2 linked regions of the Macaca mulatta genome follow. The protein of the gene in region 2 binds, or shares a complex with, the protein of the main gene of each other region. Links are inferred from orthologs where the notes say so. Each region holds a gene or a part of one and is shown on either strand. Other genes may lie near its edges. The genes, in order: PIGY and DPM2.

Evidence for each region.
Region 1: DPM2 (region 2) and PIGY share a complex: the UniProt entries of both Homo sapiens proteins name them as parts of the glycosylphosphatidylinositol-N-acetylglucosaminyltransferase (GPI-GnT) complex. The link is inferred for Macaca mulatta from reciprocal best matches to the Homo sapiens genes DPM2 and PIGY.

What each region holds. Positions count from the first base shown.
Region 1 is NC_133410.1:97,843,161-97,847,611, forward strand, and holds PIGY (phosphatidylinositol N-acetylglucosaminyltransferase subunit Y), read right to left. Parts: upstream 2,889-4,451; 5' UTR 2,800-2,888; coding exon of another isoform or gene 2,597-2,799; intron 1,126-2,596; coding exon of another isoform or gene 984-1,125; 5' UTR 889-983; coding exon 673-888; 3' UTR 94-672; downstream 1-93. UniProt on the Homo sapiens protein: Part of the glycosylphosphatidylinositol-N-acetylglucosaminyltransferase (GPI-GnT) complex that catalyzes the transfer of N-acetylglucosamine from UDP-N-acetylglucosamine to phosphatidylinositol and participates in the first step of GPI biosynthesis.
Region 2 is NC_133420.1:19,758,406-19,762,987, forward strand, and holds the start of DPM2 (dolichol phosphate-mannose biosynthesis regulatory protein), read left to right. Parts: upstream 1-1,779; 5' UTR 1,780-1,807; coding exon 1,808-1,810; intron 1,811-2,424; coding exon 2,425-2,514; intron 2,515-3,166; exon of another isoform or gene 3,167-3,211; coding exon of another isoform or gene 3,212-3,289; coding exon 3,290-3,392; intron 3,393-4,159; coding exon 4,160-4,218; 3' UTR 4,219-4,582. UniProt on the Homo sapiens protein: Regulates the biosynthesis of dolichol phosphate-mannose. Regulatory subunit of the dolichol-phosphate mannose (DPM) synthase complex; essential for the ER localization and stable expression of DPM1.

The sequences.
Region 1 (4,451 bases), on a different chromosome or scaffold from region 2:
AAACACAGCTATATTTAGTGCAGTTTTACAACTTCCCTTAGTATCAATAACACTTCTGTGACCAAACAAATAAACAAAACAAATGATTACAAACTGGTTTATTTTTTATGGGAAAGTGTCAACATCTTTATTGCTAATATAAGCATTTAATGTCAAAGAAATGAAGGTAATTTTACAAACTCAATTTTTGTAAGTACATGAAATTTCTATTTCATTATATGGTTTTGTATCACATTCGTTCAAATGCATTTCTCTCCCTTACAGGGACTATTCCAACATCACTCCTTTGGAATTATTTCAGTCATCCCTAACATGTGACTTTACCAAAGACCTTGAAGCTAAACAAACAAGCAAAACAAAATTTCAATGACTTTTAGATGAATGGAATAAGAAATAGTCATCACATGTCAATTAGGGATGTTTATCTCCAACAAGACACTGTCAAAATGTTTCTTCTGATACAGCAGTTATAAGTCAGAGCCTTCAAAAAACAAGGGCAGAACAAGAGCACAATAAAAGAAGCACCTGCAACTTAAGCTTCCCACAGTCCTAAGCCTGATATGCGCAAAGCAAAGCCTCTTTCCCACAAACTCAATTCCATCCATTTGAGCTTTCAGAGATAGATGCCCAAGAACTACCATTAATGTATACAGCATATTGACTCTAGTTGCATCAATTATGCCTGAAGAGTTTAATACCCATCCAAGTCCAAAGGTGGAAGAATACATACACTGGTATGGTAATAGGCAAGAGCAGGCTGTAAAAGCAAAGGCTGGCTGTGCTAGTGCAGCCCTGTGGGAAGTTTTCTTCCACAGAGGCTGAGTAGAACAGTCCTGTTAAAGAAACCAGTGGAATAAGAACAGTCAATGTAGGAAGAGACAGAAACATTCTTCTCTTCCACTTATTACCTGCCACTGTGTTTTAAAAGGTATATGGTACTAAGAAAAGTTGGCTGTTGCGTTTTATGTTTTTTTAATTATGAACTAGCGCTGCTCCACTTCTTCCTGCTTCTTACTTTGATGCGTCATCCTAGCTGCCTGTGGTATCATATTAGGAATCCCATCAATGATTGGATAAGCTATTCCCAACTCTTCATTAATCAATTCATTTGTTGATGCTTCATATCTGGGGTGGAAAAAAAAAAGAACAAAATGAGTTGTGGAAAAATAAAATAATTGAAGAGCCTGATTTTCAACAAATACCACCATTTATCCAATTCTTGGTATGGAGTTAATCCCAGAATAGTCTTCTTTAATTAAAAGCAACGATAGCCAATTCAACCTTTTATCTTAGAAAAATTCTCTTAGAATCTATAATTATTCCCATTTTAGTCAGTTTCTCTCATATTCTCTTTTTCACCTTATTCACAAGTTATTCCTTAATTTTTTTTTCATACTAGTCAGAAAAGATCCCCCTCTCTTATCCAAATATTCCTTCATTACTTTGGTCAACCCCCAAATCATCTCTGTTAATTTACTACTGGAATAAACACTAGAGAAAAATCAACTTCTTCGTTTTAGAATAAATGCTAAGTAGAAAAACTTAACTAATCCATTAGAAGGAAATCACTGGAAAAGGTGAGAGGGCAGAAATGAGGAAACTTTGGAAAGCAGTAAGTCTGCCGTGAGCTAGTTATAAACGCAAATCAAATAATTTCAAGGTTTGAGAAAACTGAATATGTTTATTATGGGAAAAAAGAAATATGAAAAATTGCTAGTAATCTACCACTCAAAGATAACCACTGACAACGTTTTGGTGTTTCGTTTATGCGATTTGTAATACTAGCGTTAGTGTTGTCAATATTCCATTTTTGGGAGCTTGGAAACTGTAGAGCTGTCTTCCCAAAAACTAGGTTAAAGAGGCTTCTAAGAAATCTGCTAGGCCACAACTAAGAGCCACCAGGCAGCATACACAGCTGAATTGCTTAAGATTGTCAGGCACCAGTTGTACAAGACACTTTCACAAGAATCTGGAGGGTAAAATACTTTTCATTATCTTGGCTTAAAAACCGGATGGCTTTGGACTTGTCCTGAATCGCAGTAATTCAAGAACCTGCTGGTACGTTAGAAATCATTTAGGGACCATTTAAGAACACAAATAAGCTGGGCGTGGGGGCGGCGCCTGTCTCCCGACTCCTGAGGAGGCTGAGGTGGGAGTTCTAGGCCAGTCTGGGCAACGTAGGGGGGCACCCTGTCTCTTAAAAGGAAAAAAAGAAAATACAAATGTTCAGGTCCCAACCCCCGAGCATTCCAAGTCTGCCCGTCTTGGGGGCTGCAGGGGAATCGGCATTTTTAAAACGGTCCCCGGGTGATTGCAAAGAGCAGCCGGTCGCGAAGCCTAAAACGCTTCGAGCCATTCCGGCAGGCTGGCTATGTGCTCTGGGAGATGTGGGACGCGGCTCCCCTGGCCTCCGGTCTCCCCCGTTCTGCCCGCCGCAGGGGGAGGTGCATGCACCGGCGGGGACAGAGTCCAGAATATGGCAGCGGAGAGTATTCACCGACCTACAAGTCCCCAGTGGCTGAGACAGGCCGCGGTCCACCACTCCCTTTCCGCCCACCGGGAGGCTGCGAAGGAAGGGCCAAGACCAGCGAGTCACCTGAGCGGCTTCTTGGAGAGCGGGCACACCAGGAACTCCAGCAGCGCCGGATCCAAGGCGCGGGGCGGCTCCTCCGTCTCGTTGCTCCGGTCGGCCAAAGGCCGCGAGCCCGACGCGTGCAGACACCTACAGGCGACCGCGGACCGCGCTGCGCTAGTTCCCCGCAGCGCTGAGGCGAGCCTGCCGCGTGCTCCGCTCAGCATGGTCTGGCAGCCGGAGACCAGGCCTCACTGCGCCTCCGCCAGCCGGGGCCGAGCTCCTCGCTCCGCGGTAGTACAAGCCAGCCGACCAGGCCCCGCCCCCTGGTGCTCTGGGAAACGCTGCCGGTGAGTAGGCGGGGCGGGCGCTTTGGTTCCGAGGGTGCTCCTGCTCCGACTGCTTTTCCCACGGACGTCATCTGCAGGCCGTAGGACAGCCCCAGGGCTGAGGCCTCTAGTGGGTGCCCCGCCGCCTTACCAGACTACAAACTAAATCAGTGTTTAAGTCGAGGTGTCTGGGCTTTCACCGGGGCCTGTGGCAGAGATGCTAGGAAGCCAGTGGCCAGATCTCAGAGTTGTAGGGAGTTAGGCTTGGACCTACGTGGTTACCTCCAAGTGAAGTTTCAAACACACTGTCATGTATTGTATTGAATGTATTGCCATGGATGTATTGAAAGCGTTCATTTGTTTCATGTACGTCTTTACTATACCATTAGTTTCTGTAATCTTGTTTGACTTCTTTCTGTCTCATTTAAAAAAGTGAGAACCTGGAAGGAATGGTCTAGGCCTCTGACCCTCCAAAATATATAAATTCTTCCTGCCTGAGACCCAGTCATTGTGAAGTATTTGCGTAATAAAGCACAACTAATTTACTTCTATCAATGAGCTTGGAGGCCGCAAAGGGCCTAAATAACTGTGTAACAGGCAGATGTCTGTTAGTCAAATGGGTGATCCATTCAGTGAATTTGTATCCCAGGTTTGCTTCCGACTCTCCGAGGAAGTGATGCATGTTAGATCTCTTTCTTACAGTGTAGTAGATGGGAACTTGGGCTCTGGGGCCTGACAGCTTGGTTTCCTGTCCACAGTTTAGTAGCCGGATTACTTCGGCAAGTGACTTAACTGCTCATTTTACTTATCTGTATAAGATTAATAATTGTACCTACCTTGTTCTGTCAAGGTAGGGGATAAATGTGATTGTGCATTCGAAGAACATTTAGAAAAGTGCCTGGCACAAATTAGTGCTCTATTAATGTTGTCTATTTTTATTTTTATGTCATCTAGTTTTTCCATGTCCGAAGACTCAAAGTTTCTTGTTAGTCATCCATTTTTTCCCTCCGTTCTGCTGAATATCAACCTGAACTTTTTTTTGCATCTCTGGGCATTATCATTTCACACTTTGAGTTCCTGGGGCTAGAAGGAAAGAATACGAAAATATGTTTATATTTTCAAATTTCTCTCCCACTCCAATGTAAAAATAAATTGAGAAATGTTTATGCGTTCATCCTAATTTTTTGTCTATTTGTTTTTTGGGCCATCCTGTTTTTTAAAAAAAAAAGTTAATTTTTTGATGTTCTTTGTTCACTAATGCTCAGGAGATTTTCTAAGGTTAATGTAGTTTGTAGGATACCAAAAAGGAAACACTTCTACTGGATAGATATTTAAGAGATAATGAAAGTCTCCGGTTGCCACACCTTCCTTCCCCCACAAAGAAATCTTTCATAGTCGGTTATTAGAGTCACTAAGGGACTAGAGTATAGGGCAGTTATCAGGACTTACCCCCCCAGTCACTAACGGACTAGAGAATAGGGCAGTTACCAGGACTTACCCTCAAGGGAAACTACTGTAAAGTTCCTATGTTACCTTCACACTATTTCCGA
Region 2 (4,582 bases):
CAGCCTGACCAACATGGAGAAACCCCATCTCTACTAAAAATAGAAAAATTAGCTGGGCATGGTGGTGACTGCCTGTAATCCCAGCTACTCAGGAGGCTGAGGCAGGAGAATCACTTGAACCCAGGAGGCAGAGGTTGCAATGAGCCAAGATTGTGCCATTGCACTCCAGCCTGAGTGACAGGATGGGCTTCCAACAAACCAACGAGATAAATGCCAGAGGGAGTGAACCATGCCAGGCTCAGAGTACATCTCTCCCCAAACCCCCCAGGTGGGGACAGCAGGCCAAAGGCCTCCACATAACCCCTCAGGGAGGCCTGGAGTCCAGATGCTATACTCCAGGATCTAAACAATCACTGAATTTTAAAGCTGGCTGGTTCAAAACTCTTACTTTGGGCCGAGCGCGATGCTCACACCTGTAACCCAAGCACTTTTGGAGGCTGAGGTGGGCGGATCACCTGAGGTCAGGAGTTTGATACCAACCTAGCCAACACGGTGAAAACCCATCTCTACTAAAAACACAAAAATTAGCTGGACGTGTTGGCACGCGCCTATAGTCCCAGCTACTCGGGAGGCTGAGGCAAGAGAATCACTTGAACCCAGGAGGCGGAGGTTGCAGTGAGCTGAGAACACGCCACTGCACTCCAGCCTGGCCGACAGTGAGACTCCCATCTCTGGGGGAAAAACAAAAAAACAAAAAAAACCTCTTACTTTGGGCCAAGCCTCCACGGAGTGCCAGGAATACAGCAGCAATCTCAGATCCTACCCTCAGGGAGCTGACAGGGCCGGATGAACAAGTGTGTCAGTGAATTAAAAGGCACAGGAGGCTGGGCACGGTGGCTCACGCCTGTAAACTTTTGGAGGCCGAGTTGGGAGGATCGCTTGAGGCCAGGAGTTCGACACCAGCCTGGGTAACATAGAACTCCGTCTCTAAGAAAGAAAAAAAACCCTTCCCAGCTGGCTTCCCTGGGGAACGTGGCGTCCCAGTGAGGCTGGATGGATGAGGAGCAGCCGGCCGGTGAGTGGTGGGGGCCCGCGTTCCTATCTCGGAGCTGAAGAAGCGTGGAAGATGATCTGGCCCAACATCCCTTTGTTCTCAGAGGAAGGATCCTCCAAGATCGGGGAGGGGCCTGTGCGTGGGTTCTGGTCCGAAACATGTCTGGGCTGCTGCGAGAGGCAGCCGGTGAAGGAAAGGAGGGGACATCCAGAGGGTGGCCCAGGAGGCCAGGCGATGGTGAGGAGGGCGCCCCCTCTCCACCAATCCAAATCCTCCCCATTCATGCGGGCTGGGGACAGACCCTCCCCCGCCCATCCTAGGCTGAAAAGTGAACATTCTCTGCGCCTCTCCCACCTACAGACTAGTTACGGCCCCCCAGTTCCCGTGTCGGCTTCACCACTGACTCGGATTGGGATCTACCTTTCTCTGAGCCTCGCTTTTCCCATCTGAAAAATGGAACTTCCGATCCCGCACTCCCATCTCACTCTGACCCCAGGACTTTGGGATACTTAGAGATTGGCTTTTGGTGGGGCGGCGACAGGACTGTGGCCATGAAGGCCAGGGAGTCTGGGTCCCCAACTCGGTCCCATTCCCTAGGGAGATTCGGGCAGCAACCGGCCCCACAATGCTCTTGAGAACTACACTTCCCCGATATGCAAAGGGGAGGAGGCGGTTCCTGCTAGTCTCCGACGACGTGGGCCTGAGCCGGCCTGGGGACTACGACTCCCGGCGCGCTCCGCAGCCCAAAGCCGGAAAAGCGTGAATCCGGAACCGGATGTGGCTTGCGGCTCCGGTGACTGAACGCGCGGGGAAATGGTGAGATTGGGACAGAGTGCCGGAGATAGGGGCGTCTGGGGGTGGGGTCTCGGGTGCTCAGAAGCTGGGGCATGGGCACTGGAACGGGGATTGCTCTCCCGCCCCCCCTATTGTACGGACGATAACGCGGAGGCCTGGCATTCTCTCCCAGCCTAGAAACTGATCCCTAGTCAGCCCTCTAGCATCTTTTTTTTTTTTTTTTTTTTTTTTTTTTTGAGACGGAGTCTCGCTCTGTCGCCCAGGCTGGAGTGCAGTGGCGGGATCTCAGCTCACTGCAAGCTCCGCCTCCCGGGTTCCCGCCATTCTCCTGCCTCAGCCTCCCGAGTAGCTGGGACTACAGGCGCCCGCCACCTCGCCCGGCTAGCTTTTTGTATTTTTTAGTAGAGACGGGGTTTCACCCTGTTAGCCGGGATGGTCTCGATCTCCTGACGTCGTGATCCGCCCGTCTCGGCCTCCCAAAGTGCTGGGATTACAGGCTTGAGCCACCGCGCCCGGCCTCCTCTAGCATCTGTTGAATGGGAAGCTTAGACCGTGATTGGGCCGCGACGCCCCGCCTCCATTAGTACGCCAAAATAGAGAGTCACTTCGTCAGCTGAGACCTCCCTTTTCTCCAGGCCACGGGGACAGACCAGGTGGTGGGACTCGGCCTCGTCGCCGTTAGCCTGATCATCTTCACCTACTACACCGCCTGGGTGATTCTCTTGGTATGTCATTCTCCCCGTCCGCTGCTCACCTTCCCGTAGCCCTGGCACCGCCAAAGCAACTTCTATGTAGGTTCTAGGCACGGCGCTGGCTTCATTGCCTGCCTTATCTCTTGAAATCTTCAAAACAACGCTATGAGGAAGATGCCAGTGGTGCCGCATTTTTTAGATGAGATAGCTGAGGCTCGGGGAGAAGGATCTGGCCCAAGATTGCATCCTTAGCCGCTACACTTAAAACTCTGTTTCCAGCTTGCTTTGACTTTTGGGGGAGTTATGTTCCTTCTGGGTTAGCCTGCTGACTCAGGCATGGCGAGCGCCAGTGATATCTGTGAAGGCCTTTAGGATATTTTTTTCTTGTGGGAAAACTTGTTGGTCATTGCTTAAGAAGTGCAGTGTGTTTGGAAGTGCAGAACTTGCTATCCTTTAGGGAAAAAATATTAGTGAAGAATCCCTGGAGGCCCAGGTTGGGAGTCAGTCGAGGATTCCTCATGTACTATTTGCTAGGCTGTGAGTGCCTTAGGGCTGGTCTCTTGTCCCCTGTTCTCTTGTCCCCACCACCAACCTATGGCAGGCACCAAAGCAAGTGCCCGGTAAATACCAATAAGAAATTAAGGAAGGAAACAAACCATGACACCCAAATGCCATAATCTTAAAGAAAAGCAAATGCAGGCCCAGTGCTCTGAATGGGCCAGCCCCTTAGATGCTGGAGGTGGTGTGTTTGGGCTTGGGGGCTGGGCAAGGCGAGCAAGGCTCACCAGAGCTCTGCCCTCGATGCCAGCCATTCATCGACAGTGAGCATGTCATCCACAAGTATTTCCTGCCCCGAGCCTATGCTGTCGCCATCCCACTGGCTGCAGGCCTCCTACTGCTCCTGTTTGTGGGTAAGTCATCACTTCCTCCCCTTGACCCCGGGCAGGGTTTCGGGGGGACCCCACCTCTGAACATGCTTCCACACTTTGGCACTGCTGGAAGCTCTTTGCCCCGAACTCACCCCTGGGGTTTTCCTGTTCATCCTTCGAGGTTGCCAGTCAGTAACCTCTGGGTTTCCTGGTGCCCCAGGCTTTTTGGACTCCAATGACCTGTCCCCCTCTTTCCTGCCCCCAACCCCATCATTGCTCTGCTCACACCTCAGTCACCCTCTTGTCACCCTGGCTTCTAATTCCTGCACCTCTCTCTCTCATGGCTTCCTAGGGGCGGGGACTGTGTCTCCATCATTACTGTGCATCTAGAATGGGCTGTGGCACTGAGGTTGTGCTCAGAAAGTCATTTGGATGAGTCAGTCAATAGCCGGGTGCCTGGATGATGGGTGGGTGGATGGGTGGGTGGGTGAGGTATAGGAGGTGGGTAGGTATATAGGTGGACAAGTGGTTGACTGGGTGATCTATAGATGGGTGGATCTTGTTCCCCTTGGAATCTGAAACACTAAATGCAGCATCTTTGCCTGAGGCAGGCACTCAGCTGGTGTTTGTTGAATGAATGTGAGTGGACCTATGGCTTGACGAATGACTAGGGAGATAAGCAGGTTCCCTGGAGAGTGGTTGGGTAGGTTCACAGCCCTGCGTGTGGGTGGCTCTGCTGTGTCGTGCCCTGGCCTCCCAGCAGCCCTGAGCTTAGATCTTATGTGGCCTTTCTGGTCTATGTATTCCAGGACTGTTCATCACCTACGTGATGCTGAAGAGCGAGAGGGTGACCAAGAAGGCTCAGTGAAGGTCCCGCGGGGATGAGGCTGCCAGCCCCTTCTCTGCTTCCCCTCCAGCACAGGGACCAAGTAGGGGAGCCTGCAGAACCTGTCCAGGCACAGTGGCGCCTCCAGCCTGCCTGTCCTGCAGAGTCCCCATGACATGGAGCTTACCCCTGCCTGACCGGAGCCCCCTCCCTGACTCTCACTTCCAGAAGCTAGGAGGGAGGAATACCTGGAAGACTCCAGTCACCCCCTTCTTGCTCAGGGCCTAAAAGATGCTGGTCTCCCAACCTCACTCTCAGACTCCCTGCCACCTTTTCCCCCGGGTTCTGCCATGTTGCCTCACTTCCCCTCCTGTCACATGCTGACATTGGACTTAGCGGGTTCTAG